4 linked regions of the Lonchura striata genome follow. The protein of the gene in region 1 purifies or fractionates together with the protein of each later gene. This does not show direct contact. Links are inferred from orthologs where the notes say so. Each region holds a gene or a part of one and is shown in the gene's direction. Other genes may lie near its edges.

Evidence for each region.
Region 2: the proteins of CDK5 (region 1) and FIBP purify together in Homo sapiens (affinity purification with mass spectrometry; 7 studies listed by BioGRID and IntAct, counting the BioPlex papers as one, with this or other methods). This does not show direct contact. The link is inferred for Lonchura striata from reciprocal best matches to the Homo sapiens genes CDK5 and FIBP.
Region 3: the proteins of CDK5 (region 1) and CCT7 purify together in Homo sapiens (affinity purification with mass spectrometry; 3 studies listed by BioGRID and IntAct, with this or other methods). This does not show direct contact. The link is inferred for Lonchura striata from reciprocal best matches to the Homo sapiens genes CDK5 and CCT7.
Region 4: the proteins of CDK5 (region 1) and CABLES2 purify together in Homo sapiens (affinity purification with mass spectrometry; 6 studies listed by BioGRID and IntAct, with this or other methods). This does not show direct contact. The link is inferred for Lonchura striata from reciprocal best matches to the Homo sapiens genes CDK5 and CABLES2.

The regions. Positions count from the first base shown.
Region 1 is NC_134603.1:156,839,588-156,846,931, reverse strand, and holds the start of CDK5 (cyclin-dependent kinase 5), read left to right. Parts: upstream 1-4,343; 5' UTR 4,344-4,354; intron 4,355-4,366; exon of another isoform or gene 4,367-4,391; 5' UTR 4,392-4,439; coding exon 4,440-4,476; intron 4,477-4,604; coding exon 4,605-4,693; intron 4,694-4,789; coding exon 4,790-4,857; intron 4,858-4,990; coding exon 4,991-5,051; intron 5,052-5,143; coding exon 5,144-5,200; intron 5,201-5,294; coding exon 5,295-5,390; intron 5,391-5,722; coding exon 5,723-5,797; intron 5,798-5,907; coding exon 5,908-6,004; intron 6,005-6,083; coding exon 6,084-6,153; intron 6,154-6,559; coding exon 6,560-6,620; intron 6,621-6,695; coding exon 6,696-6,776; intron 6,777-7,017; coding exon 7,018-7,104; 3' UTR 7,105-7,344. UniProt on the Homo sapiens protein: Proline-directed serine/threonine-protein kinase essential for neuronal cell cycle arrest and differentiation and may be involved in apoptotic cell death in neuronal diseases by triggering abortive cell cycle re-entry. Interacts with D1 and D3-type G1 cyclins.
Region 2 is NW_027461085.1:11,885-18,899, forward strand, and holds the start of FIBP (acidic fibroblast growth factor intracellular-binding protein), read left to right. Parts: upstream 1-4,008; 5' UTR 4,009-4,059; intron 4,060-5,100; 5' UTR 5,101-5,102; coding exon 5,103-5,187; intron 5,188-5,410; coding exon 5,411-5,609; intron 5,610-7,015. Other genes in the region: autophagy-related protein 2 homolog A-like, read left to right, coding at 659-715, 866-948, 1,300-1,421, 1,922-1,983, 2,220-2,240. UniProt on the Homo sapiens protein: May be involved in mitogenic function of FGF1. May mediate with IER2 FGF-signaling in the establishment of laterality in the embryo.
Region 3 is NC_134606.1:733,361-741,050, reverse strand, and holds the start of CCT7 (T-complex protein 1 subunit eta), read left to right. Parts: upstream 1-4,687; 5' UTR 4,688-4,731; coding exon 4,732-4,737; intron 4,738-6,197; coding exon 6,198-6,351; intron 6,352-7,690. Other genes in the region: PRADC1 (protease-associated domain-containing protein 1), read right to left, coding at 1,777-1,897, 2,114-2,281, 2,931-3,040, 3,332-3,432, 4,398-4,449. UniProt on the Homo sapiens protein: Component of the chaperonin-containing T-complex (TRiC), a molecular chaperone complex that assists the folding of actin, tubulin and other proteins upon ATP hydrolysis.
Region 4 is NC_134619.1:5,155,543-5,162,691, reverse strand, and holds the start of CABLES2 (CDK5 and ABL1 enzyme substrate 2), read left to right. Parts: upstream 1-4,143; coding exon 4,144-4,646; intron 4,647-7,149. UniProt on the Homo sapiens protein: Unknown. Probably involved in G1-S cell cycle transition.

The DNA.
Region 1 (7,344 bases):
GTAACCACATGGCTGCAGTGACACCACCTTGCCCTCCTCTCGGGCAGGAGGGTCAGGACACACAGCCGGGGCCATGGCGGTGACAGGACCGTGCCGGTGCCGGTGCTGGCACCGCCGCCGGCCGCGCCCTTCGCACGGCCCCGCGGCACAATGCGTGCTTGTGAGAGGCCGGGCCGCCCCGATAAACGGGGCAGGACCGCGACCCCGGGTGGCTGCCAGCCCTGGCCACGCTGGGAATGACCCGTCGCTGCCACGGGCGCTCAGCGCCGCTGCCACGGCCACTCCCGCGCCGCCGGAGTCACATTCCTGGGACCGGCCCTGGCCTGCCTGAGCTGCTGAGGCGATTAGAGGGCTTGGCCCTGGCCCCGCACTGCCTTGGGGCTGCCCGGAGGGCTCACAAGCTCCTGGACCCAGCCTGTGCCGGGACCCACCTCTGGCACCACTGGCACTGCCAGCACTGGGGCAGCGGGCCGAGCACGGCGGGAAGTGGGACCATGATGCTGGCATTCACACCGGGATACACGTGTCCACACCAGGACAATTATGTCCTGGACAGCCTGTCCACACCAGGACAACCACATCTGTCCTGGGACAATCACATCCTGGGCAGCCTGTCCACACCAGGACAATCACCTCCCCACTGAGACACCCACGTCCTGGGAAGCCAGGTCACACATCCACAGCAGGATAACCCCGTCCATAGCACAGAGCCAAAACCCCATGAGAAGAGGCAGGACTGGGAGTGGGGGACCCCCATGGCAGCAAACGTCCTCCTGCCCACTCTCCCATGGCAGTGCCCCCCTTAGCAGTAGCACCATGACTCCTGCCAGGACATCTCCTGCCACCACCATGTCACCTGGCAGATCCCTGACACGGGCTCAGTGCACACACATGTGCCGCCCATGCTTGTGCCCACACTGGCATCAAGGCTGAAGGTGACCCCCGTAGCACGTTCCCCGGGCTTGGTGGAGACACCAGCTCCCCTTGGTGACAAGGAACAGCACACCGTGCCTGTTGTAGCCTCCCTGCTGGCAGCACCTCCAGCACGGCATGTGCCAGGCAGAAGGAATGGCTGGGGCGAGGCCAGCACAGCTCAGGCTGTGCCCATCGCCTGGGCAGACATGTCCATGGAAGAGGGAAGTCAGGAGATCCCCAGATCCCTGCACCCCGAAATGGAGGAGGCCCAGTGGGGGCCCCAGCACTCTGCCCACTCCCAGAGACAGGAGAGCCCCAGCTCCCTGCAGCCCCTTGCTCCCTGCCCCATCTCACCTAGCTGCTCCTGGAAACCCCTGGGTGTCAGTGGCACCAGTGTGCCCCCAGATCCCACCCAGCAGAAGCACTTGGGATCCTGCACCCCCTCATCACCACGGGATGGAGCTGGGCCAGACACCACTGGCTCCCACCCAGCAGTTTCACACACAGAAACTTCAGAAACCAACACCAAAAATATTCACCTCCCCCTGCCCAAACCCCTGCCCACGACCTCAAAACCACCGGAGGTGGAGATGAGTCACAGCTCTGTACCCACATGGTGCCACTAGCACTGGCATTGCCACTGTCACCAATGTGCCAGGCACCCGCCACCACCTCTCTGCTGCCTCAGGGAGGCCAGGACCCCCCCACACAGCACCAGACCCGCAAGAGCCTCCTGCCATTGCCGGCGGTCCCCACCACTGTCCCCGTGCCAGCCCCAGGAGGGGACAGGCACAGCTGCCCCCTGCAATCCCGTGGGGACACGCACCAGCACCACAGCTCGGTGCCTGCAGGATGGGATATCCTTGAGGGGTGGTCTGGCCACAGGGACAGCCCCTGTGGCACCTGCGGCAGGGCTGGAGGCCGCCCTGCACCCTGGGCTGCCGGAGCCCAGCGGGGAGGTGTCGCTCCCGCCGTGCCACCCCGGCCCCAGCACGGGCTGCACCCCACTCACCCCATCGCCCGCCGAGCCGGTCAGCCGGGGCTCCGGCAGCTGCGCCGCTCCCGCCCCCCAGGCCGGGCTCCTGCCCGCGGGAAGGACGCGGGACCCCGGCACGGCAGGGGCGAGGCCCGTCCGGAGCCGGCCCGCGGGCAGCGGCGCTGTGCCCGGAGCTGCCGAGCGCTGCCCGCAGCTTTATCCCGGCTCCGGAGGAAAACAACCCGCGGGAGCAGCGGCGGCAGCGCGAGCCTTTGTTCCGCGGAGCAGCCCCGGATCCGATCAGGGAAGCTCTGCCAAGTCCTTCGCCGTGGCTCCCGTGGCGACCCCACTGCCGCCCAGGCGTCTTTGGGGACACAGGGGACACGACCCCCTCCGTAAGCGCAGGGTCCCGCCTCGGGCGAGGGTTGTGTCCCCCCACCCTTGGCCTGACGCCCCTGGAATGCCCCAGCGCGGCGCTTCGGGCAGCCAGCCCGGCCCCTGCGGCCGCCGCGTCCCGTCTAATGACAGGCTGCGGCTGTGGGGGCTGAAACGGGGACAGCGCGGGGACACGGCTCCCACGGTCCCTCCCTTCCGCCGGCTGGAACGGCGCTCCCGGGCAGGGTGGCACCTGGGTCCCCCTCAGCCCTGCGCAGGGCACGGGGTGCCAGGAGGGTGCCCCAGCCCATCCTTCGGAGCCTGCCGGCAGCCCCATCTCCTGCAGCGTCCCTGCCCGGCCAGGACAGGTGACAATGCAGGTACAGACCTACCCGAGCCCCGGGAACGGAAGGGCTGCCGGCAGGGAGGCGAGGCGCCGGTGCCAGCGGATCGTTAGAACGATCAAATCCCGGTTTTTTTGGCAACCGCTTGAAGTGGTGCAGCGACCCCGAAGGGCTCGACAGCAGGTTCCCAACTGGAGCCCTCCTCCGTGGGGGGACGGGGCAGGCACGGAGCCCTTCCCGCAGCACTGGGAGCTGCCAACAGAATTCCACCACGGAGCAATCCCAGATCCCGTATCAAAACCAAAAGGGTCTCTGCAGCTGGGGAGAAGCAGCCACGGGCAACGCAGCCCCCAAAACCTGCTCCCACCCCAAACCTGCTGCCGCCTCCCCGGGGACACGCTCCCGGGCCATGGGAGCCCACGCTCCGTGGGAGAGCCCCGGCTGGAGCCGTGCCCGGCGTTGCTCAACCCCGGATGGTTTCGCAAGGGGCAGTGCCCCGGCACCCGGCGGCTCTCAGCGGGCACCGCGCGACTCCCCGGGCCCCCGGACCCTCCGTTCCGGGGCAGGGTGGCTGGATGAGCCCAGACCCCTTCCTGGCCCTGTGGAGCCCTCGGACCCCTCGGCTCCCGGGAGCGGGGGGCTGCAGGGTGCTCCGGACCTGGGACAGGGACACACGGCGGGTCCCCAGCCCCGTCACTCACCTGCCGAGGGCTGCCGGGCTCAGGCGCCGCGGGGCAAGCGCATGGAGCGGCCTCGCTGTAAGAGAGGGACGATGGTGGATGCGGGGTCCTGGCTCCCCCGTGCCCCCGGGATCCAGCGTCACCCCGAGAGCAGGCTCCGGGGGCACCTGGGACCGCCCGGCGCGGAGCTCCGGTGGCGGCGGAGAGCGGCCGAGCTTCAACGTCCCGGGCAGCATCGCTGCGGGCCGGGAGGGGTCCCGGGTGTCCGGGAGGGGTCTCGGGGTGGCCCTGGGGGATGCCCGGGCTGGGCATTGCTCCACCTGGAGCCGAAGGAGCCAAGGCACCCGGAGCATGTGCCGGGAGAACCGGAGTCCCGGGGCACGGCACAGCCCCCCTGAACCCCCCCAGCGCGGCAGGGGCCCCGGGGAGGAACTGGGAGAAGCACAGCCGCGGCCGCGCCGGGACCTGGGGTTGCCAGGGCGGGGCAGGACGGGACCGGGACCGGGATCGGAGCTGCCGCGGGCGGGCGGGGAGGCAGTGGAATGGAGGGGGCTCGGTGAGAGAAGCGTGCGGGGACCGGGGACAGCACCGACTGGGACGGGCGGCACCGGGAGGGTGGGGACACTGGGACGGGACCAGGAACGGGACCGGGACCGGGACCGGGACCGGACCAGCCGTGCTGAGCCCCGCCAGCCTCACCACCTCCGTTCACGATCCCGGTGCCGGTGCCGCTGCTTACCGGACGGTCCAGCCGCGCCGGGCGGGTCTGCGCGTTCCCGCGGGGCGGAACGGCGGGAGCGCGCCGGGGCGGGGCGGCACCGGGCGGGTCCGCACCGCTTCCGGCACCGACCCAGCGAGCGCGGAGACCGTCCCCGCAAGGGATCCCCACCGGGCGCCCGCGCAGCGGCGCTGTCCCGCGGGGGGCGGCGGGGGGAGCCGGGGGTCCGGCGGGGAGGCGGCGGGCGGAGCCGGGGCTCGAACCCGGAACCCCGGGGCGGGGGCGGGCCCCGCGGGAGGCGCGGCGGGGCGGGGCCGCGCGGGGCCGCCGGGAGGCGCGGCGGGGCGCGCGGGGGCTGCCGGGAGGCGCGGCGGGGCCGGGACCGGGACCGGGACCGGGGCCGCTGCGGGGCCGCGACCGATCGCGGCGCGATGCAGAAATACGAGAAGCTGGAGAAGATCGGCGAAGGTGCGGCAGGGCCGGAGCCGCACGGAGGGAGCCGGTGCTGCCGCGGGGCCCGGCGCTGCTGTGGGGCCCGGCGGCGGTGTCGGCACGGGTACCGGGGCCTCGGTCGTGACCCCGTTCCATTCCCGCAGGCACTTACGGGACCGTGTTCAAGGCCAAGAACCGGGAGACGCACGAGATCGTGGCGCTGAAGCGAGTGCGGCTGGACGACGATGATGAGGTGAGGGGGGGGCCGGGGCTGGGATCCCCCCGGGACCCCGGGACGCCCCCCGGGACCCCCGGGAGCCCCGGCTCCCACAACCCGCGTGTCCCGCAGGGGGTGCCCAGCTCGGCGCTGCGGGAGATCTGCCTGCTCAAGGAGCTCAAGCACAAGAACATTGTCAGGTACCGGGGGCTCCGGGCGGCCCCGGGGGCTCCGGGCGGCCCCGGGTACCGGCGTCGCGGCTCGGGGGATGCTCCTGCCCGGTGCCCCGGGCCCGGCCAGGCGCTGCGGGGCTCAGGAACCCCTGCCCTGCAGGCTGCACGACGTTCTGCACAGCGACAAGAAGCTGACCCTGGTCTTTGAGTTCTGCGACCAGGTGAGCTCCGGGGGCACGGGTGTCCGGGGGGGCACGGGGGTCCGGGGGGGTCTCTGAGGGTCACCGCTCCCGGCCCCCCTCGCTTCCCTCAGGACCTGAAGAAATACTTTGACAGCTGCAACGGGGATCTGGACCCCGAGATTGTCAAGGTGGGTCCGGGGGTCCCGGGGAGCCCCCGGGGTGCCGGCCCTGCCCCGCCCGGTGCCGCGGGCTGGCTGACGGAGCCCGCCCGTGCCCCCGCAGTCGTTCATGTACCAGCTGCTGAAGGGCCTCGCCTTCTGCCACAGCCGCAACGTGCTGCACCGGGACCTGAAACCCCAGAACCTGCTCATCAACCGGGTGCGGCGGCGGGAGCACGGGGAACAGCCGGGACCGGGCACGGAGCGGGGCTGCGCTCGGGAATGGGGCTGGCTGGTTGGCTGTCTGTCTGTGTGTCCTGGGCAGTCACACCTGGGAGCGGGGCTGTGCTCAGGGGTCACACTTGGGAATGGGGGCTGCCTGCCTATCTGTCTGTCTGTCTGTCCTGGCAGCCACACCTGGTGTCTGTCCAGCCACAGCTGCAGCTCCATCTCTCCCCTGTTCCCAATGATGAGAAAGGCAACAGGGCCACAGTCCTGGGGTGCAGGGGATGCAGGTGGGGCCCCCCACGCTGACCCCGTCTGTCCCCCCAGAACGGGGAGCTCAAGCTGGCGGATTTCGGGCTGGCTCGGGCCTTCGGCATCCCTGTGCGCTGCTACTCAGCCGAGGTGAGCGGGGGCTCCTGGGGCTGCTGGGGCTGCTGGGGCCCGGGGTCCTGGCCCTGCCCAGCTGGCTGGGGGTCCCGTGTCCCGGTCCCAGTGTCCCTGTCCCTCCGCAGGTGGTCACTCTGTGGTACCGGCCCCCCGATGTTCTCTTCGGTGCCAAGCTCTACTCCACCTCCATTGACATGTGGTCAGCCGGGTGCATCTTTGCAGGTACACTGGGGGGCCAGGGGAGCGGAGGGGGGCCTGGGGGGCCATGGGGGCCTGTGGGAACCACCCCTTGTCCCCCCAGAACTGGCCAACGCAGGGCGGCCCCTCTTCCCGGGCAACGACGTGGACGACCAGCTGAAGAGGATCTTCCGATATCCTTGGGAATGGGGAGCACCAGAATGGACGGCCTGGGAATGGGGAGCTCAGGGAATGGGGAACCCAAAGGAATGGGGACTCCTCCTGGGAATGGGGACTTCCCCTGGGAATGGGGACTCCTCCTGGGAATGGGGACTTCCCCTGGGAATAGGGAATCCCCTGAGAATGGGGAGCACTGTGCATGGTAATCCCTCTGGAATGGGGGATTGGGGAAATCCTGGAATGGAGAGCCCTCGGGAATGCAGACCTCCCCTGGGAAGGAGGAGCCCTGCAGAATAGGAATCCCCTGCGGAATGGGGAGCTCTGAGAATGAGGATCCCTTGAAATGGGAACCCCCTCGGCTGGGCAGGGGGGCAGGGCCAGGTGCTGGGTGCCCCCGTGGTGGCCCTTGACTGTCCCCACGCTGCTGGGGACCCCCACGGAGGAGCAGTGGCCGGCCATGGCCAAGCTGCCGGACTACAAGGTGAGGGCAGGGGGCGCGGGGGGTCAGAGGAAATAAGGGGGTCTGGGGGAGCTGGGGTCACCTGTGTGTCCCCAGCCCTACCCCATGTACCCAGCTACCACTTCCCTGGTCAACGTGGTGCCCAAGCTGAACGCGACTGGCCGGGACCTGCTGCAGGTGAGACCCCTCCCCTGTGCTCCCCTTCCCGTGCCCCCCACCCTGGGTGTGTCTCCCAGCCTGCACTCCCCTGCTCCTGTCCCACCGCAGCGTCCCCCACACGTGTCACCCCTGCCCACCCCGTGGGGGCTCTGGCTCCTGGGCGTGGGTGCCCTCCCGCCTGCAGCCCCCTGCCCGCCTGGGTGGGCTGTGGGAGGGGGAGGGTCCGTGCTCTCCCCCCTGAGCCCCCCGTGCCCCCCAGAACCTGCTCAAGTGCAATCCGGTGCAGCGGATCTCGGCGGAGGAGGCCCTGCAGCACCCCTACTTCACCGACTTCTGCCCCCCCTAGGGCCCCCGAGGGGGCAGCCCCAGCCGCCCAGCCGGGTGCCAGCCCCCCGACTGCAGCCCCCCCAGTATTTATTAGGACCTGCCCCGGCTGCGGGGGGCTGGCGCGCCCGGCCCCCAGCCCCGGGGGTGGATGAGAGGGCTGGGGCTCCCCCGGGGCCACGGGACTCACCGGTGCCAGGGCACTTCCCAAGGGCACGGGAACCCGACAGGGCTGGTGGAGGGGCAGGACCCTCCGGGACCA
Region 2 (7,015 bases), on another chromosome or scaffold:
CCCGCCCGGTACCGCGGCCGGGGGGGAGGGGCTGGGCTGGGGGAGGGCCCTGGGGGGGGAGGGGCTCCCGGCTTTGGGGGTCCCCTCACTGTTCCCCTCCCCCCCTCCTCCTGCAGGCCCCCCCGGGGTCGGGGACCCCCCCCGGCCGGAGCCGCCCCCGGAGCGGGACCCCCAAACGGAGACACCCCCGATCTACTTCCGGTGGGGCTGGGGGCACTGGGGGGAACTGGGGGGGATTATGGGGGACTGGGAATGGACTGGGGGGGAACTGGGGGCACTGGGGGGGACTGGGAGGGAATTGGGGGGGCTGGGGGGGACTGGGAGGGAACTGGGAGGACTGGGGGGGACTGGGCTGTCCCAGGCTGACGGCGCTCTTCCTGTCCCTGTCCGTCTGTCCCCGTCCCTGTTCCTCTGTCCCTGTCCGTCTGTCCCTGTCCCTGTTCCCCTGTCCCTGTCCCTCTGTCCCTGTCCCTGTCCCTCTGTCCCTGTCCCCATCCCTGTCCCTGTCCATCTGTCCCTGTCCCCATCCCTGTCCCTGTCCCTGTCTGTCTGTCCCTGTCCCTGTTCCCCTGTCCCTGTCCGTGTGTCCCTGTCCCCATCCCTGTCCCTGTCTGTCTGTCCCTGTCCCTGTCCCTCTGTCCCCAGCGAGTTCCGTTTCATGGCCGATGTCCCCGTCTGGCTGGATTACCGCGGCAAGCGCGTCACCATGGAGCAGGTGAGGGGGTGACGGGGTGACAGGGGGTGACAGGGGGTGACAGCCGTGGCCGTGTCCCGGTGCCACCATTCCCCAATGACCCCGTGCTGTCCCCTCCCTGTGACCCCTCCCTGTCCCCCGTCCCCGTGTCCCCCTGTCCCCGTGTCCCAGGGCGCCCTGGCCGGGATCCTGATCGGGCTGGCGCGGCTGAACTGCTCCCAACTGCGGCTGAAGCGGCTCTGCCACCGCCAGGGGTGCGGCGGGGACGGGGACAGGGGGACAGGGAGACACGGGGACACGGGGGGACACGGGGACACGGGGGGACAGCAGGACATGGGGGGGACAGTGGGACACGGGGACACGGGGGGACAGTGGGGGATACTGGGGGATACTGGGGGGACAATGGGGGGCACCGGGAGGACAATGGGGACAGAGGGGTCGGGTGGGCACTGGGAACAAGAGGGACACTGGGGGACACTGGGGGGCACTGGGGACAGGGGGGGACACTGGGGTGGACATGGGACAAAGGGGCCGGTGGGGGCCTGGGGTCCTGCGTGACCCCAGACTCGCCGTGCCGTGTCCCCCCGTGTCCCCCTGTCCCCCAGGCTGCTGGGGCTGGGCCGGGTCGTGTCCTACGCCGTGTCCGAGTGGCTCCGGGACATTCGGTGTCACCAGCTGCCGGGGCTGCTGGGCGGGGTGGCACCGGTGCACGCCGTGCTGCAGCTCTGTGAGTGGCGCCGCTGGCACCGCTGGCCCCTGTGCCAGTGGCACCAGTGTCCCCCTGTCCCCAGTGGCACCAGTATCCCCAGTGGCCCCAATGTCCCCCTGTCCCCAGTGCCCTCGTTATCCTTCCAATCCCCCCCCCCAGTCCATCCCACTCCCTCCCAGTTCCCTCCCAGTTCCTCCCAATCCCCTCCCAGTCCCTCCAAATCCCCTCCCAGTTCCTCCCAATCCCCTCCCAGTCCCTCCCAGTCCCTCCCAGTCCCTCCCAGTTCCCCCCCAGTCCCTCCCAGTTCCTCCCAATCCCCTCCCAGTCCATCCCAGTCCCTCCCAGTTCCCCCCCAGTTCCTCCCAATCCCCTCCCAGTCCCTCCCAGTCCCCTCCCAGTCCCTCCCAGTCCCTCCCAGTCCCTCCCAGTTCCCCCCCAATCCCCTCCCAGTCCCCTCCCAGTCCCCTCCCAGTCCCCCCAGTGCCCCCAGTGCCCCCAGTACCCTCCTGTCCCCCCAGGGCGGGCTCTCCGGGAGCTGCTGCTGCCGCCGCTGCCGGGGGGGGTCCCGGGGGCGTCACCCGTGGGGTCGCCCGTGGGGTCTCCGCGCTCGGCGCCGCCTCGGCCGGGGCCGTGCTGGGGCTGGGCACGCGGCTGCTGCGGGCGCTGCAGGTGGGACCGCGCCCCAGACCCCCCGAATATCCCCCAGATAGCCCCGAAATATCCCCCGGATATCCCCCAAATATCCCTAAAATATCCCCTAAATATCCCCCAGATATCCCCGAAATATACCCCAAATATCCCCCACATATCCCCCAGATATCCCCCAAATATCCCTGAAATATCCCCCAGATATCCCCCAAATATCCCTGAAATATCCCCCAGATATCCCCCCAAATATCCCCGAAATATCCCCCAGATATCCCCCAAATATCCCCCTGAATATCCCCCAGGATATCTCCCAAATACCCCCCAAAATCAACCCAAAATATCCCCCAGAATATCCCCATAATATCCCCCAGAATATCCCCCAAATATCCCCCAAATATCCCCAGGATATCTCCCAAATACCCCCCAAAATCAACCCAAAATATCCCCTAAATTCCCCCCAAAATCCCCAAATCCCCCCCAAAAATCCCCCAAAATCTCCCCAAAATCCCCCCAAATATCCCCTAAATATCTCCCGACCCCCCCGACCCCCCGGGGTCTGGGGTCCGGCTGTGACCTTTGACCCCCAGGCTCTGGCCGAGGCCCTTTTCGGACTCGTGGCCCCCCCGGGCCCCCCCGGCTCCCGCGGCACCGGCGGCTCCCAGTACGGACCAGTATGGACCAGTATGGGGGGGGCAGTATGGGTCAGGGGTCCCAGTTTGGGTCGGGGGGTCCCAGTTTGGGGTCTGGGGTCCCAGTTTGGGTTTGGGGTCCCAGTTTGGGGTCTGGGGTCCCAGTTTGGGTCTTGGGGGTCCCAGTTTGGGGTCTGGGGGGTCCCAGTTTGGGTCAGGGGGTCCCAGTTTGGGGTCTGGGGTCCCAGTTTGGGTTTGGGCTACCAGTTTGGGGTCTGGGGGGTCCCAGTTTGGGTTTGGGGTCCCAGTTTGGGGTCTGGGGTCCCAGTTTGGGTTTGGGGTACCAGTTTGGGGTCTGGGGGGTCCCAGTTTGGGTCTGGGGGGTCCCAGTTTGGGTCAGAGGTCCCAGTTTGGGTCAGAGGTCCCAGTTTGGGTCTGGGGGTCCCAGTTTGGGGTCTGGTGGGTCCCAGTTTGGGTCTGGGGGGTCCCAGTTTGGGGTTGGGTGGTGCTGGGGGGTGCTTGTGCCTCCCAGTCCCTCCCAGTCCCTCCCAGTCCCTCCCAGTCCCTCCCAGTCCCTCCCAGTCCATCCCAGTCCATCCCAGTCCCTCCCAGTCCCTCCCAGTCCATCCCAGTACATCCCAGTCCATCCCAGTACATCCCAGTCCCTCCCAGTCCCTCCCAGTCCCTCCCAGTCCATCCCAGTCCCTCCCAGTCCCTCCCAGTCCATCCCAGTCCATCCCAGTCCCTCCCAGTCCCTCCCAGTCCATCCCAGTACATCCCAGTCCATCCCAGTACATCCCAGTCCCTCCCAGTCCCTCCCAGTCCCTCCCAGTCCCTCCCAGTCCCTCCCAGTCCCTCCCAGTCCCTCCCAGTCCATCCCAGTCCCTCCCAGTCCCTCCCAGTCCATCCCAGTCCCTCCCAGTCCATCCCAGTCCATCCCAGTCCATCCCAGTTCCCCCCTTCTCTCCCCAGCGCCTCCCCAGCTCCAGGACCAGCCCCGCCCCCACCGAGGGACTGGGGGGGCCCCGGCCCCCCCCGCGACCCCACCCCCAATAAACTGGGAGAGACGGCTCTTACTGGTTTTACTGGTTTTACTGGTTTTACTGGTTCTTACTGGTTTTATTGGTCTTACTGGTTCTTATTGGTTTTACTGGTTCTTACTGGGACTGGACCTGGGGGCTGGGACAGGGACCGGTTTTACTGGTATTTACTGGTTTTACTGGTATTTACTGGTTTTACTGGTTTTTACTGGGGGGGGCCCGGGAGGGCCGGAAGAGGGAGGGGCCGGAGCGGCGCGGCCGCGCCCATCCGTGACGTCACATCCGGCACACGTGACGTCACCGCTCTGCGCCGCGGAGGGAGCGCGCGGGACGGCGCCGGTGGGTGGGGGAGGGGCGGGGGGTCCCGGTACGGCCCAGTTTGGGTCTGGGGTCCCAGTTTGGGTCTGGGGGTCCCAGTTTGGGGTCTGGGGTCCAGTTTGGGTCTGGGGGGTCCCAGTTTGGGGTCTGGGGGGTCCCAGTTTGGGGTCTGGGGTCCCAGTTTGGGTCTGGGGTCCCAGTTTGGGTCTGGGGGGTCCCAGCTTGGGGTCTGGGGGTCCCAGTTTGGGTCTGGGGTCCCAGCTTGGGGTCTGGGGGGTCCCAGCTTGGGGTCTGGGGGGTCCCAGTTTGGGTCTGGGGTCCCAGTTTGGGGTCTGGGGTACCAGTTTGGGTCTGGGGTCCCAGTTTGGGGTCTGGGGGGGTCCCAGTTTGGGTCTGGGGTCCCAGCTTGGGGTCTGGGGGGTCCCAGCTTGGGGTCTGGGGGTCCCAGTTTGGGTCTGGGGTCCCAGCTTGGGGTCTGGGGGGTCCCAGTTTGGGTCTGGGGTCCCAGTTTGGGGTCTGGGGGGTCCCAGTTTGGGTCTGGGGTCCCAGTTTGGGTCTGGGGTACCAGTTTGGGTCTGGGGTCCCAGTTTGGGTCTTGGGGGTCCCAGTTTGGGTCTGGGGTCCCAGTTTGGGTCTGGGGGGTCCCAGTTTGGGTCTGGGGGGTCCCAGTTTGGGTCTGGGGTACCAGTTTGGGGTCTGGGGGGTCCCAGTTTGGGTCTGGGGTCCCAGTTTGGCCCAGTTTGGGGTTGGTGTCTCCCTGCCAGCGTGTCTGGGGCCGCGGGGCCACCGTGACACCGGGGACACCGGGGACAGTGTGACACCGGGGACACTGTGACAGTCGTGACGCTGGGGACGTTGGGGACACGGTGACACGGTGACCCTGCTGACGCTGGGGACACGGTGACCCTGGTGACAATGGGGACACGGTGACACCGGGGACACGGTGACACGGTGACACTGGGGACACGGTGACCCTGGTGACGTTGGGGACACGGTGACGTTGGGGACACGGTGACACGGTGACACGGTGACCCTGCTGACGCTGGCACCTCTGCCCCGCAGGGATGAGCAGCGACCTGGACGTGTTCGTGGGGAACACGACGCTGATCGACGAGGAGGTGTACCGGCTCTGGCTGGACGGGCACTCGGGTACGGCCCCGGGGTCCCCCGTGTCCCCGTGTCCCCGTGTCCCCGTGTCCCCTGGCTGTCCCCTGGCTGTCCCCTGGCTGTCTCAGTGTCCCCTGGCTGTCCCCTGTCCCCCGTCCCGTGTCCCCTGGCTGTCCCCTGTCCCCTGGCTGTCCCCTGTCCCCTGGCTGTCCCCTGGCTGTCCCCTGTCCCCCGTCCCGTGTCCCTGACGGCCGCGCTCCCGCAGTGGCCGAGGCGGTGGCGCGCCGCCTGCGGGGCGGCGTGCTGGAGCGCGAGGGCACCTCGGTGGCCGTGCTGCAGAGCGACACCCGCGACCACTACAGAACCTTCCAGATGCTGGAGCGGCTCCTGCACGCGCCGCCGCGCCTGCTGCAGCAGCTGCTCTTCCAGATCCCCCCCGAGCGGCAGGCGCTGCTCGTGCAGCGGTACGGGGGACTGGGAATGGGGATGGGAGTGGGAATGGGAGTGGGAATGGGGGGAATGGGAATGGGAATGGGAATGGGAATGGGAATGGGAGTGGGGGAATGGAATGGGGATGGGAATGGGAGTGGGAATGGGAGTGGGAATGGGAGTGGGAATGGGAGTGGGAATGGGAATGGGAGTGGGAATGGGAATGGGAATGGGGGAATGGGGGAATGGGAATGGGGATGGGAATGGGGAAATGGGAATGGGAATGGGAGTGGGAATGGGAATGGGAACGGGGGAATGGGAAGGGGAATGGGGGGAATGGGGAATGGGGGGAATGGGGAATGGGGGACTGGGAATGGGGGGACTGGGAATGGGGGGAATGGGGAATGGGAATGGGAATGGGAGTGGGAATGGGAATGGGGATGGGAATGGGAGTGGGAATGGGAATGGGGACTGGGGACTGGGGAATGGGAATGGGAATGGGGGAATGGGAATGGGAATGGGGAAATGGGAATGGGAATGGGAATGGGGGAATGGGGGGACTGGGGAATGGGAATGGGAATGGGAATGGGGAAATGGGAATGGGAATGGGGGAATGGGGGAATGGGGGGAATGGGGGGAATGGGGAATGGGGGGACTGGGAATGGGAATGGGAATGGGAGTGGGAATGGGAATGGGAGTGGGAATGGAATGGGAATGGGGAAATGGAAATGGGAATGGCAGTGGGAATGGGAATGGGAATGAGAATGGGAGTGGGAGTGGAATGGGAATGGGGAAATGGGAATGGGAATGGGAATGGGAATGGGGGAATGGGAATGGGAATGGGAACGGGGATGGGAATGGGAATGGGAATGGGAATGGGAATGGGAATGGGGACTGGGGACTGGGGAATGGGGATGGGAATGGGGGAATGGGAATGGGGGAAGGGAATGGAATGGGAATGGGAATGGGGGAATGGGAATGGGAATGGGAATGGGAATGGGGGGACTGGGAATGGGGGAATGGTGGAGGGACTGGGGGAATGGGGGAATGGGGGGGACTGGGAGCACTGGGGGGACTGGGGGCACTGGGAGGGACTGGGGGGACTGGGAATAGGGGAATGGGGGGACTGGGGGGAATGGGGGGCACTGGGAATGGGGGGACTGGGAGGGCTGGGAGCACTGGGGAAGCAGCTCCAGCTGTCGGGTGTGGTTTCGGAGTTTCGGGAGCAGATTTTGGGGCTTGGTGCAGGGTTTTGGGGATCTCCTCAGTTTTGGGGCCCCCTGAATTTTTGAGGTTTCCCCCCTATTTGGGGTTTTCTCCCCCCATTTTTCAGGTTTCCCCCCTGTTTTGGGGTTTATCCCCCCGTTTTTGGGGTTTTCTCACCGTTGTCGGGGTTTCTCCCTCATTTGCCCCCCGATTTTGGGGTTTTCTCCCCGGTTTC
Region 3 (7,690 bases), on another chromosome or scaffold:
TGGAGGTTCCTCCAAGAGGCAGCAGCTTTAATTTAGAACAGGGTTGTGTTGTGGGGTCGGGGTTGTGCAGAGGTGCCGGAGCGGGGCAGCCGGGAGCCGGAGGCAGGCCCTGCTCCTACCTGTCCGTGGTGTCCCTGTGCGTGTGTGTGTGTGTCAGGCTGTCCCTGTCCTCCCCGTGAGGACAAGCTGTGAGCCAGTGGCCCTCCAGCGCATCCCAGTTCCCAGTAGGGCAGGCTGGTGGAGAGTGGGATCCAGCCAGCCCCTGGGACACCATGCTGGTCACCTGTGAGGTCACTCCCTGTGTCTGTGCAGGCTGTGGATGTGGAGGAGCTTGTCCTTCCCACCCGGAACGTGTGTGTGTGTGTGTGTGTGTGTGTCCGTGTGTCTGTGCACGAGGGTACTATTTAATGTCTATATTAGCACTATCTACACACTATGGAGCTGGGGCCCTCATGTATCCTGCATTCCATGCCTTGGCCAGCAGTGAGGGGCAGGCGGATGGATCTTGCAGGGGATGCCTTGGAGAGTGGCCCAGAGCTCAGCAGGGAGAGCAGAGCTGACCCTGCAGACACCTTCCCAGCTCGGCCCATCCTTCCCATGACACAGAGCCCAGGGCAGGACCGTGTGGGGATGGAGAATGGCCGGGAGCTGACATGGGCTGGGGTGTCATGCCAAACCCAGAAGACATTTTGGGTTTTGTAGGGACGAGGCTGTGCCTGGGGATGCAGCATGTGCTGGGTGCCTCCCTGCACCCAGTGCTCCCACATGGAGATGTGCCAGTGCAGAGTGGCCCCACTGGATGTCCCCTTGTCACCCATGCCATGCTGCCACCCTCAAGGCCACGCCGTGCTGTGCTGTCCCTGTGTGCAGACCATGTGGCTGGAGGGACAACAGCTCCAAGTGACGGGCAGCAGGTCAGGGATGCACCTGGGGTTATTTCCTTCCTCCGTGGGTTTTAGGGAGCTGCTTCCTGCTGCCGTGTCCATGGCAGCAGGACTGTGGGACCGAGGGTGGCACACCTGTGGCACTGCCATCACCATCAGCCCTGCCTCCCGCTGCTTGTCCCCAGCCGTCCCCTTCAGTGTTCCTAATAAACCGAGACTGGTGACAGCTGGGGACCTGTGCTTTGTATTGCTGGTGCTGAGTGCAGACAGGGCTGTGACCCAGGGGCTGCACCTGTGGGGACACAGGGCTGGGGCTGAGCGAACGGACACCTGTGCAAGTGTGGGCTCTGGATTTGTGACCAGCCCACCTTGGGGACAGCTGCTGGAGGCTGCGCTGTCCCATGAAGCTCTGAGCCCTGCCCCAGCTGCAGGAGGCACTTGGAGAATTATACTAGGAAAAAAATTGAGGATGAGATTTATCCCTTCATCTGCTGAGAAATAAAAGAGAAACTTCCCTTTCTCTAAAACTTACTCAGACTTCATTAGCTCAGACAAAAATATACAGACATTGGGTGAGCCCTGCTGGTAGACCAAGTGTGTATCGCTCTTCCCCCATCCCTGCCAGTCCTCATGCCTCCAAATCAGCAGCACAAGGTCAAATGTTTCCTGGGAAGTGCTGGCCTGCTCTGGGCCCTCACCTCCCTCCCACAGTCACAGGTTGGTGCCAGGCTCAAGGTTCCCCCTAGCACTGGTGCTTGGCCACACCGCGGTGCCAGCAGAAAGATCTGTCGCCAAATCCAGCGAGATCTCTGGAGCATGTTGGGATCCTTTCCTCAGACCCGGTCCTAAGGTCCTGGGATGCACCAGGAAGTCCTTGAGCAGCCTTCTGCTGCTACCAGAAGGTCCAGGGGGGCTGCATCATCTCGTAGGTGGGAATGCTGGTGACGTTGACAGGAATGGAGATGACGGCCCAGGGGAGCCCGTGCTGCTCCAGGGAGCGCCTGATCATGTACCTGGGGATGGAGGTGACAGGGTTGGAGAGCGGAGCCACACCAAGCCCAGAGCACAGCCCAGCTCCACGTGCCCCTTGACCGCCACTGAATCCACGTGGATGTGGCTGCCACAGCCTGGCAGGGCCACGCCGAGCAGCGGGCCCTCCCTGCCGAGAGGGACGAGGCTGTCACCGCTGCCAGGAACGTCCCACCCTGGGAAGCAGCCCGGGCACGTACCCGTCCCTGCCCAGCAGGAAGAGCGCGGGGATGTCGGCCGTGCGCCGGGAGCTGTCCTGGATCATCTCGATGTAGAAGCTGTCGTTGTCGTAGGCGTTGTCGGCGATGATGACGGCGCGCCCGCCGTGCTCCTGGATCACGCGGGTCTTGGACAGGAAGGAGCAGCCCCTGCCCCACAGAGCGACCACGCCGTCACCCACCTGGGGTGGCCGCAGCGAGCTCCAAAGCTTGCTCCAAAGCCTGCACCTGCCAGAGCTGGCCTGGGCACACCCAAACTAGGGATTGTCTCCCTGATTCCACACCTCCTCCAAACCCCGCTCCTCCGAGTCTGTATTTCAGCTACAAGCCACCCACATTCCTAAAAAAAAATTAAGTAAAATCCTGGAATGGTTTGGGTTGGAAGAGACATTAAAGCCCATCCAGTGCCACCCCCTGCCATGGCAGGGACACCTCTCACTGTCCCAGGCTGCTCCAAGCCCCAGTGTCTAGTCTGGTCATGGACACATCCAGGGATATGAGGCATCCAGAATTTCTTTGGGCAACCTGTACCAGGGCCTCACCACTCACAGAGAAGAGTTCTTTGCAACTGTCTAATCTAAACCTATTCTCAATCTGAACTCGGGCAGCATTTTTTCTACCTTGCCACAGGCTAAAAAATACAAGATGCAATTCTCCAGGGTAGGAACAGCCTTGCATTTTCCCAGTTTATCTATGTGGGGAAAGCCCCAGGAAGATCTGGAAGTGATGGGGAGATGTGGCCAGGGCTCCCCTCCTGCCCAGCAGGGTCCCCCAGCAGCTGCCACCATGCCAGACCTACCCCCTCTCCACCAAGGCGATCTGGTCCTGGATGAAGACCCCATTGTTCAGCTCTCCGCAGGCCTCCGGAGGATCCGCGGGGACCAGGTGGATCTGGTCATACCTTGTGTTCTCCGAGGAGACAGGCAGGGGTGAGCCGGGGGGACGGAGCTGCTCCCCCTCCCACGCCCTGCTCATCCCTGTGGGGGCTGCTCTGGGGGAGATTTTGGGTTCCCAGGCTCAGGGACGCTCAGAGCCAGCCCTGGTGCCAGTCCCTGACTCTGGCATCCTGCTGAGGCCAGGGATGCTTGTGGAAGAGCAGTGAGCTCCATTTTAATCAAAACCCCAAAGCACTGAGTCCCAGCGAGGAGCAATATTGGCATGGAGGGACCCAAAGTGGCAAATTCAGTTTTTAATACTTACAAACACGCCACCGAAATCCTTGGCTGGGGTGGCAGTGAAGATGTAGCGGATGTCTCCAGGGCTCAGCACTTGGAAGTACAAATATTCATGGATGCGTAATCCTGGGGGTGAAAAGACAGAGCTGAGGCAAGGGAAACTTAAAGGCAAAATCCCTGAAAAAAGGGAGAAGTCCGTTATCACTCCTGAACCACCGGGGAGAGAACACGCCCTCCAGCAATGCCAAATCCTGGCTGGGCCCAGGTCCCAAAATTCCCCAAAGGTTTTGGGGTGTTCCAAGGGCAGATGTGGCAGTTCCCAGGGACTGACAGGGGATGGGGATGGGAAAAGCACCGGGACTGGGTGCTCAAGGGGAAGGGAAAATGCTGCTGGATCATGGAGGGGAGAGAGGTGATAGGCACCCAGACCGAGGGGAACAGAGGGGAAACCCACCAGGATCACAAATGGGAGGGAAAACGCACTTGGATTAGGATGCAGCAGGAAATGCAATGGAGCTGGGGCGCAGTAATGGGAAAAGCACCTGGATCACAGGGAAATCCGAGGGGCTCAGACCCCACCGAGAGGAAATGCCGCAAGATTGGGGTGCTGGGTAGGGAAACTGGGTCGAGGTGCACCCAGGGAATTGCAGGAGAAACGCACCCGGATCGGGATGTAGGAGGAGAAACGCAATTAGGTGGGGGCGCACCGAGGGGAAATGAATGCCCCGTATGGGTACGGGAGATGAACGGCAACGGGACCGGAGTGTCGGGAGGGGAAATACACCGGGACAGAGACACGGGAGGGGAACGGCAAGGGGCTGGGAGGGGAAATACACCGGGACAGAGACACGGGAGGGGAACGGCAAGGGGCTGGGAGAGGAAATACACCGGACAGAGACACGGGAGGGGAACCGCAGCGGGGCCGGGGTGCCGCGAGGGGAAATACACCGGGATGGCGGGGCGCCGGGCGGGGAGGCGGCCGGCCCGGGATGCCCGGGCTGTGTGCGCGGTGCGGGCGCGGGGCCCGGGTGGTCGCGGCCCGGGTTGTGATCGCTGTCCCCGCTCCGTGCCTCCCTCCGTCCCTCACTCACCGCGGGCCGGGCAGCAGCAGACGCAGAGCCAGAGCCAGAGCCAGAGCAGCATGGCTGCGCCCCGCCCCGCCCACCGGGCCGCCCCGCGCTCCCCATTGGTGCATGGTCTTACCGCGCTCCTTCCTATTGGTCTGCGCCGCCATCAATCACGCGCGAGCCGGCGCGGGCAGCTCGCTGTCACCGCGGCGTTCGCTGCCAAATAGTGATCTATTCAATTTCCCACGCTGCGCGCCCTCTTCCCTCCCTGCCAAATAGTGCTCCTCCCCGGCCCGCCCCCGGGAAGGTTCTGGGCGGGCGCGGGGCATTGTGGGGCCGGGAGCGAGCAGCCGCCGCGATGATGGTGAGTGAGCCCCGCGCCATCCGCCGCCATCCGCCGCCATCCGCCGCCATCCCCGCCGTCCCCGCCGTTCCCGCGTCCCGCCGCGCTGCCCGGCCCGCGGGGCCCCCGCCGGCCCCCAGCGAGCGGCTGCGGCGGGCCGGGCCGGGCCGGGCCGGGCCGGGCCGGCGGGGATGGAGCGCGCAGGCCCGGCGGAGCCGCGCCCGCCGGAGCCGGGCTGCGCCGGCCGCGGGCCCTGGCAGCGGCAGCCCCCGGCCCGGCCCGGCCCGGCCCCGCCGGGATGCGGGAGGTGGATGTGTCTCCGGGCTGATTGCCCCGGGGAGGTGGATGTGTCTCCGGGCTGATTGCCCCGGGGATAACCGGTTCTGTTTCCCTTGGGATCTCCGCGCTGTGGGTGTGGAGGGAGGCTGTACGTTCTCTTCCACAGAATAGTCACGGTGGAGATCGCTCAGTTCAACCCCTGCCTATGCAGGGTCACCTGGAGCAGGTGACACAGGAGCGTGCCCAGGTGGCTTTGGGATGTCCCCAGACCCTCCCTGTGCAGCTGTGCCAGGGCTCTGTCACACTCCATGGAAAGTTCTTCTTCATGTTGAGGGGGAACTGCTTGTGTTTTAATTTATGTGCTGTTGCTGGGCATCACCAAAAACAGTCTGGCACCAACGTGTTGGCACTGCCTCGGATAGATTTGTGTGGATTGATGGGATCCCTCTCAGCCTTCCCTTCTCCAGCCTAAGCAGGCCCAGCTCCTCAGAGGAGAGATGCTCCAGACCCCGGAGATGTTTTTTGTGCCCATCAACCTCTGCAGTATCTCCTTGTGCTTGTGACTCCTCAGTGCAACAAGAACAGTTTAGTTCTGCTGTGTGCCTGCTGAGCTGGTTCAGCACTTAATTAGTTCAGTTTAGTTCTGCCTCTGAACTGGCTGTTCCGAGCCAGTGCATCCCAAATTTGGGCAGTGTTTGGACTTTGCCCGAGCTCAGCCTTTGAGATGATTGAATGGTTTGGGTTGGAAGGGGCCTTAAGACCCACCCAGTGCCACCCCTGTCATGGCAGGGACACCTCCCACTGCCCCAGGCTGCTCCAACCCCAGTGTCCAGCCTGGCCTGAGACACTGCCAGGGATCCAGGGGCAGCCCCAGCTGCTCTGGTGCTTTGGCCACTCAGACTTGTTTGGTTCCTCACTTCTCTGTAATTCCTGCAAGTTCTGTCTCCTCCAGGCCAGCATCAGATCAGCGCCTCGGTGGGCCCCGCCGCCCCAAAAACCCGTTATTTTTAAGACGATTCCTGTGTGGTCCCCGAGCCTGTGGCGGAGCAGTTGTGTGAATTCCCAGCGGGATGGGTGGTGTGGAGCAGGGGAATTGCAGCGAGGCCGTGTTTTAGGTCCTGCTCCTGCACACGGGTGCCTTTTGGGCCGGCAGGAGTTTGTTCTGGGCTGGGCTAACGGCCGTGCCGCGCTCCTCCCTGCAGCCAACGCCGGTTATCCTGCTGAAGGAGGGCACGGACACCTCGCAGGGCATCCCGCAGCTGGTCAGCAACATCAACGCGTGCCAGGTGATCGCCGAGGCCGTGCGCACCACGCTGGGCCCGCGCGGCATGGACAAGCTCATCGTGGACGATCGGGGTGGGTGCGGGCCTTGGCCCTGCGCGGGTTAAAGCGGCTTTGTGTCTGCTCAGTGCCAGCAGCCTCACCCTGCCAGGCTCAGCTCTGCCTCGGTGGCCCCTTACAAAGCAGGGCTTTGCCTGCCTGACAGCTGCCAGTCCAGCCTGAGGATTCCTGATGGCTCCCCAGGAGCTCCTGAGGAGATGCAGAGCCAGGGGGGTTGTGCTGCCTTGGGAAGGCTGGCCTAGAACAGGGGCTGGACAGAGCTGAAGATTAAAGCAGGGATTTATTCCAGGATCTCCTCATGGATCCACCTTGGGCTGCACCAGAGCCCAGCCAGGGCTGCACCCAAATGACCCAAAATGGTCCCAAAATGCACGAGCACTCCCGGGGCTCTCCCTGGGATCAGTTCTGCTGCATTGGCACCTTGGAGTTCATTGTCCCATTCCAGCTCCAGCCCATCAGTCCCATCCTGCTGGTTTTTCTCTCTCCAGCCCACGGTGTTTGTGCTCCTGGGCTGAGGTTTGGATCATTGTCCTTGGTGCTCAGCTGGAGCAGGAATTGTTTTGTCCCTGCTTTCTGATGAGAGCTCATCAGTCCCTAAAATAAAACCCAGACCTGCACACTAAAGCAGCACAGAACCTGAAAAATAGAAAAGCAAAACCTGAGGCATCAGTTGGATGCATCCAGTGTCAGTCTGTGCCAGACAGGAGAAGCAGAGAGGCTTGAACCTCTCTTCAGGTATTTTTGGTCATCTCTATTTTTAAATGAGGCTCATGATACCTGTGGAGTAACTCAGCAGTTGTGGCTGAGTGTGAGGTCAGTGGATGTTCCTGGGCTGATTTTTAATCTATTTTTTGAAGTGTGATTTAGAGATGAACTTTGTGGTCACTTTGAAAAGACTGGTATGAAGTCACCATAATAATAAATAATAAATAATAATAATTACTTACTACTTTTGTTACTGAAGGGTGGCGTAAAAAGGTTTAGTATTGTCTTTAAGTAGCTTTTCCAAGTAGGAACTGTAATAAATCCTTGTTCAAAAGGATAATTCAATTTAAATTTCTCTTATGACAACTAATATGATTTCTAGACTCTTTCTTCATGGGAGTCTCAGACTAGAATATGGTTTTATCTGTCTAGGGAGGCCTTTGAGAAGGGGGAAAATGAATTCCAAACCTTTGTTGGTGTGGAAAGTTGTTCTGCTCTCAGACTGACTTCACTGAACCTGCTCCACAAATGGGCTGACAGGAGTGAGTTCTGGTGGAGCAGAGGAGGCTGCTGAGATTGCTGAGAGCCCCCAGAGACAGGGCTTTACCCCTGCCAGTGCACAGCTGCCTTTAACTCCCTTTTCTGCACG
Region 4 (7,149 bases), on another chromosome or scaffold:
CTCATGCAGCTCTGCAGCTCACAGCCAGGAGTGAGGGAACGGGGACAGGGACAGCTTGGGTGTACAGAACAGAGCATAGGGACAAGCCTTCACACTTTTGAAAGGAGGCTGTGAAGTTGTGGATAGATTTAGCAAATCCAGCAAGCAGCAGCAGTTCTTGGAAGGGAAAGATTTGGGGAGTTCCCTTGCTCCTTTATCTCAAGCAAAGTTTACTGTAGGAATTTTTGAACCAAAATGCAAGTTCCTCTTGTATCCTTTGGATATCAGAGATTTCTGCTCTGCCTTGAATATCATCACCAACACTTCAGGAGCTCCCTAGGCTGTGCTGCACACCCTGCTCATACCAACCTTGGTGCTGGATGTGCTGAACTCCAGTGGGACCTCTCCAAAAAGCACATTTTCCAAGATTCTCCCATGAAAATTATTAATTTATTAATAACAGCATTTAGTGCAGTACCATGTGCTTCAGGGAAGAGAGTTTGATCCATTCATTCCCAAATCCTCTTGCAAACAGAGCACAACATTTCCCTGACTCGAGCACAGGGCCCTTCTGTGTACAGAGAAATAGGATTAAATCAGTCAGTTCTGTGTCTTTTAAATGCTCCGTGTCATGCAGGAGAACCTGAGTCATTCCCCAAGGCACACAGGGCTGCTGGCAATGTTTGCCTCTTGAGGAGCAGCAGCTGATTTTGCTGTAATTGTGAACATGCAGCAAGAGCAGAGGGTTGTGTCACCCAGCAGGGCAAGCACATGGCAATGCAGGAAATACTGCTGCTCTGCTCCAGCAGCAGCCAGAAGGTAACAGGACCCCCAGCTGGAACCCACTGAGGAGATTAAAACCATCTCAGGCTGCACTGCTGGTGGCTCTGAGAGCTGGAGCCAAACCTGTCTCATGGGTTTGGGATGCAGGAGGAGAGCAGCGGGGATGGATGGATGTGCCAGCAGGGAGCAGGAGTGGTCCAACATGTGAATGTGGTTAGGAAGGGTTTCATCATTCCCTACTCATGGAACACAAGCAGGGGATGGCACCTGCGGGTGTTTTCTGAGACAGACCAAAGAGGAGGGAGAAGGTGAACTCAGGAGAATGTGTACTCCCAAAAACTCTTCATATGGATGTGGTGAGTTTGAGGCTGAGCTCCAAAGAGTGCTGGTGTGCCCCCAGGTGTCCTGATTTCAGGCGGGAATTTAAACGGGGTAAACTGTGATAGGAAATTTGGGACAAGAATTAGAGCTTGTTCAGGAGAGAAGGGACAGTAAGTTCTACATGCACATTGCACTTCTGTGTCATCCTCCCAGACTTCCAGAGATTATCCTGGTCCCTGTGAGGTCCCTCGGACCTCCATCCCCACCCTGCTTAAATGTCTACAGCAACTTTTGGTGCCTTATCTTAATACCAGTAGTTCCTCCAACCAGAAGCTGCACTTCTGGTTCCCAGCCTAAATATACTTATGACCTGTTTATCTTTGCTTGATTCAGGGCCGTGATTTTGCAAAAAATGTAACAGCCAGCCCACATAAGTACTTTAAAATGCTGTCTCATATCAGATGCTTAGACCAGATCCTGCAGTTCTTGCATGGCGAAAAATCCTTGTGACCTTGGTGACTCTTCTCCCCAAATAGCATTGGAATAAGGATTTGCAGGCTGGTCCTGTTTCACACCAGCTCCTTATTCCAGCAGCCCCACACTGCTCAGACATGTATCCAAACAACCCAGGGCTTCCTTTAAGGTAGAGTAGAAGCTCCAGGAGCAAAATGAGTGTGAGTTGAGTATTGGTGATTCAGAGTAACATTTTACATCTGTGCAATAATGTCACTGAAAATGCAGAACTGCCTGCCTTTCTCTTTATCCAGTGATTTCGTGGTGGTTAAGGTTGGAAAAGGCTTCAGCCAGAACTTGAAGCTGCTGTGCAGCAGAAGGGTGGGGAGTCCAGCCTTTCTCCAAAACATCATCCCTGTGTAGGAAGGAGAGAACACACATGAGCTTGGGCTCCCTTTGCTCCTTGCTCCAGGGATTCCCTCGCTGCAGAAGACAGGGAGAAAAAGCTTTTCAGGGTTGTACCCAGGCACTGCCTTTTGTGGGAGTGATGCTGATGTGCCACTCGTCTGTTTTAGCACCAAATTCTCCGAAACACGGCACTGTGCTCACTGTACTCAAACACTGTGAGTTGTCAGACACAGATAAAAGCTCCCCAACATTAACAGCAGCAACACTCCAACTGCTAAATTCAGCTTTGAAGTTAGCAACCCACTAAGCCATGGAGGCTGCTCCTTTCTGCACTGACTCAGTGGGACGATTTACATCCCACAGCTATTTTTACAGGGAAAGAATGAGAAAAAAGCCGCACATTTATTTTTCAAAATCCAATCTTGGGTTCTAAAGAATTGTTTGCAGCAAGCCTAGATAGGTTTCCATGCCTATTCATCCCCTGGCTTATTTGATGAGCTTGCCAGCAGGAAGGATTTTAATTCCTTTTTATCCCAAACTATTTTTTCCACAGCTGTGATATGTAATGGTTCTGCCAAATAATTTATGCTCAAAATCTGACCTATATGGAACAGTATAAGATGCTGAGCATGTTCTTGGGATTTAAGGGCAGAGTTGGTATTTCACTGTAGGATTTTTAATGGAAGCCTACAAGAAAACATTGTCCTACACCTAGTTTAATCCTATTATTATTACTATTATTATATGTTACTAATATTATAAGATGTGTTTATGGCCCACTTGCAACAGCATACAAAAAAGAATCTTATGAAACAGCCATATGAAAAGACATAGAACGTGTACGTGTTTTATAGGACAGTTTCAAAACCTATCTTTTACTCAGTGCCCATATTTCAGGCCATATCATCAGACATCAGTTTGAATGTTGGTGTAGACTGCAAGTAATGTTAAGAGTTGCCATATGGCTTTTTAAAGCCTATTTGGCAGAAGCATTCACCCCTCTAAGGGTCCAGTGTTGCAAATACAGTAATGGCAACTTTCAATGGTAAACATCTCAAATGGTAAATTCGGTCTGTACTTTAAAATATGTACTGTGTGGGCAAAATCTGCTTGGGAGCACAAGCTGCTTCAGGGCATGAGAGGTGGGAAGGATGGGAAGGCTTCGTTTCGGTTTCAGGGGAACACAGAGGCCACCAGCACCCACACACCGCTGTTCTCAGATCCAAATGCTTCATCACGCCCAGCGCAGCTCCCAGACCTCCCCTCCCAGGCTCAGTGGCACGGACATTGCCAGTGCACATCAAAGTCCCCTGAGGAAAGGAAAGGGCAGAGCATCATCCCGAGATGTGACAGACACGGGTTCAAGTGCCTGAGGGGAATGTTTATCCCGTGCAGTATAAACACATCAGTCCGGGAAGCAACGTATTGCGCAGAGATGCCTTCAGTCACTTTGTGGAGATAAATACTAAGTTTATATCCTCCCAGCCCGGGTCTGCCTTGCCCATATACGGCCCCAGGATCGGCACTGCCTTGGCTTTGCTTCAGGAGCTGGAAGCGTGCGGATCCATCCCTCCGCACGGGCTTCGGGGCTGCCGGTGGGTGTCAGGGCTGCGCCCCGGGGTCGGCGGATTGGGTCCAGCTCAGCCCTGCGAGCCACAGGCTCAGCTCCGAGGCTGCCGGGATGGAGCAGGAGCATCAACGACCTCCATCCGCTTTTACAGCAGCGCTTTGACCTGCTCCAACGCCTGCGATGGGTTCAGCAGATGCGTCCTCCAGCCTCCAGGAAAGCCAGCATCTCTTGGGACACCAGTTCTGCTGATGGTTTGGCTGGGGACATGAGGGGAGGAGAAGTTTTCGAAAAGTAACGCAAAAGGACACGGCGGGGGGGTGCACGGCGGCACGGTGGGCTCCCGTTTGCAGCGGGGAGGTCGCGGGGGGCCGGAAGGGAGAGGCCGGGAGGGCCGGGGCCGAAAGGGAGAGGCCGGGGGCGCCGCGGGGCTCCGGGCGCTGCCCCCGCCGGCGGCGCCAGCGCGGCCGCGGCCCCGGGCCCTGGGCGGGGCCTGGCGCGGGCGGCCAATGGCGGCGGGGCGGCCGCCGGGCTCATTTGCATTCGGGCGCGACGCAGCCAATGGGCGCGCGAGGCGCCGGCCGCGCTGCGCTCCAGCCGCCCCGCCCGGGCGGCCGCGGCTCATTCGGAGAATGGCTGCGGCCGCGGCGTGCGGCTCCCCGCCTCCCCGCCCGCCCCGCGAGCAGCCGCCGCGCAAGCGGGGCGACTCCCGGCGGCGGCAGGCCGCCCTCTTCTTCCTCAACAACATCTCCCTGGACGGGCGGCCGCCCTGCCCGCCCGCCGAGAAGCCGCCGCTGCCCGCCGGCCCGGGCGACGGGGAGGAGGCGGCGGCAGAGCCGGCCGGAGCCCCCCCGCGGCTGCTGCCCCCGCCGCCCGTATGCCAGCCGCCGCCCGCCCTGCTCCTGCCCGGCGTGCCCGCGCTCGCCGCCGCCGGAGCCAAGGGGGATGCGGACCCCGCCCGCGGGGGCATCTTCCTGCCGCAGCTGCTGCTGGGCGGCCCGCTGTGCCCGCCGCCCCCGGCGCCGCCCGCCCTGCCGGGGATGCTGGCGGCCCCCAAGCCGGGCGCCCCGGGGCTGCTGAGCCCCGCGCCGAGCGCGCCGGGCGGCGGCTTCGCGCTGGAGGCGCAGCGGCAGAGGTGAGTGAGGGGACGGGGCTCGCCGGGCCGGCCCACACCCCCGCCGCGCTGCCCCCGCGGGGCGTGGGAAGCGCCGGACGTTCCCAGGGCCCCGGGCCGGCCGGCGGCTCCGGGCGGGGGAGCGGGGCATGGGAAACGGGCGGCCCCGGGCACAGCGGCCGTGGGAGGCGGCGCCGGCCCCGGCCAGAGGCGCGCGGGGGTCCGGCCGGGGAGCGCTGCCTCGGCAACGCCGCTCGGGCCCGCGGACGAGAAGGATGCCCCGGCCGGCGCGGCGGCGGATGAGGGGGATCCGCGGAGGGGATTTCTCTCTGAGGCTCTGTCTGCAGGTTTGCGGTACCCTGAACCCTGCCTTCTGCTTTTCCCCAGCCCAGTTTCTGCATTTCTCTGTTTCCAGATGAAGCTGGCGGGGGTCACTGTTAGGCAGAACGCTTCCACCACTGCTGGTGTCGTGCCTTCTCCTGCTCTTGTGCTGCTTGTCTCTGCAACTGTGTATTAATGAATGCTTGTGCACAGGGAACTTGTCAACCTCGCGGGAGGATGCTCTGGCCTTCAGAGCAGGATTACCATTGCATTTCCAAGGGACTTCTGTCAGGCTGAAAGTGTTCCTTTTCTAATCGACTGGAAGGCAGGTTCTTGCTCAGATCTTGGGGATTTGAGCTCTGAAAGAACTCTTTTCAGGCTGTTTCTTGCATAAACAGCTCTGTAAAATGAGCTGGCCCTCTGAGCTGCACATAGGCAGCAGTACCAAAGGCTTTAAGTCTCTGTGGTCTACAGTGGCTTCAAGAGCTTTGTCAATGAGCTGAAATAGAGATGTTGTCAGTGCTTTAAAGCTGGGGAGTTTGCTAATGCAGTTGATGTGTATCGCACTGTGGAGATGTCCTGTGTATCCCCAGCTTGGGGGTTCAGGTGAATTTGAAGAGAAGCAGTTTTGACTGTCAGTAATGTGGGGGGGTCCTCATGTGTTCTCCTTTCTGGGGTGTTTTCCTCTTGAAATGTTATTTACCACTCATTGCTTTTCTTGTCATGGAACAGACCTTTCCCTCCTTGTTTCTGAAGAAATTGAAGCTGTGGCTGCCAGCTGGGTGCCCTGTATTGTGCAGTTGTGTGCCGCTAGTTGAGCAAGAAAGCCTGGAGTGAGGGTGTTGCTGTGGAACAGTTCCTGCCTAGCACTCCTGGTCCACAAAAGCCAGCACAGGAGGTGCTGTGTCATTTAATTTCATTGCTTTAATATTGTAGGCAAAGCTCTTGAGGGCAAGTTTTGCATCAGGTGTTTCATAGCACAGTTACCTTTGTGGATGTGGCTTTCGTTGTGCCTCTGTGTGCAGACTTCTGGAGAGATGATCCTTCCCCTTCGCATGCCACGTCAATAGGACACTAAGAAAATATTCTTAGGATCTTCTCATTTGATGTCCTTCCTGCCTCTTTCTTTGGCATCAGGTTTGAGCTGTTCCACTACGGTAATTCTAATCAATCTGGCTGGAAAGAATGATGAATCAGAAATACAAGGTAGAGAGGAATGCTAGAAGGCAATCAAGGGAATCAAAAGGATTCTGTCTGAGTAATGACAAAATAAACCGTGATTTTTTTGCTTGGAAGATTTGGCTGGAAGGGTATATTGTATTGATCAGTTTGCATACTACTTTTGAGGGGGATTAGAGTGAGAGTTCATCCAGTTTTCAGCTTGAAAGAAAAAGGACATCCACTGAAACCATCAGACAGAAGAGTCACATCTTTACATGGACACACTCATCTTCTGACACAAGGACAGTTTTGTGCTGCCTGTGGAATGTTAGAGCCAATGTACCTCATGCCAGTCACACTGGGCACAAGAGTGGGTGAAATGGACTGTCCCTCTCTAATGACAGTTTCACTGTCCTCTTACAGGGTGACTGACTTACCGCTTTATTTTTCCCTGGACAGTTTCATGCTTTGGTCCGTGACAGAATCTCTCTCCATCCCCACTGAGCGGAGGCATCTCTTCTTGTTGTAACTACACGAGGAGTGATTCAGGGAATTGCAGGAGGAATGTCCTTCAGGACACTGATGCTTTTACTCTGTCCCCTTCTGTGTTGGATGAGCTGTTTGCAAACTAAGATTCCAAAGTCAGCAATTACAAAATGTATCCCCTTTTATTAGGACTTGGGAATCTGAGAGTTGTTTTGCCTTACAGCGATGTTGCTACTCTAGATCATTAACTGCCTGCATCATGTAGAGGTACAGGCAGGTGAAGTTGGAGGGAAGGGGGAAGTGGAATCTGCACTGCCATCCTGGACTTTTCATCCTTGGTATCCACTTCAGGCAGCTGCTCTCTTCAGAATCCTTTTTGAGTCACTGTCAAGAGCAGCTTTGAATTTTCCTCAGATGCAGGAGGATCACTGGCTGCAGGGTCTCCAGACTCACTCTGCCTGTGTTCCCTGACCAGTCTTGTGCCATGTCTGGGAATTTCATCGTGCTGGGGCTTGCCCTGATCCATGGAGATCTCTGTCTCCTATCAGCATCTCTA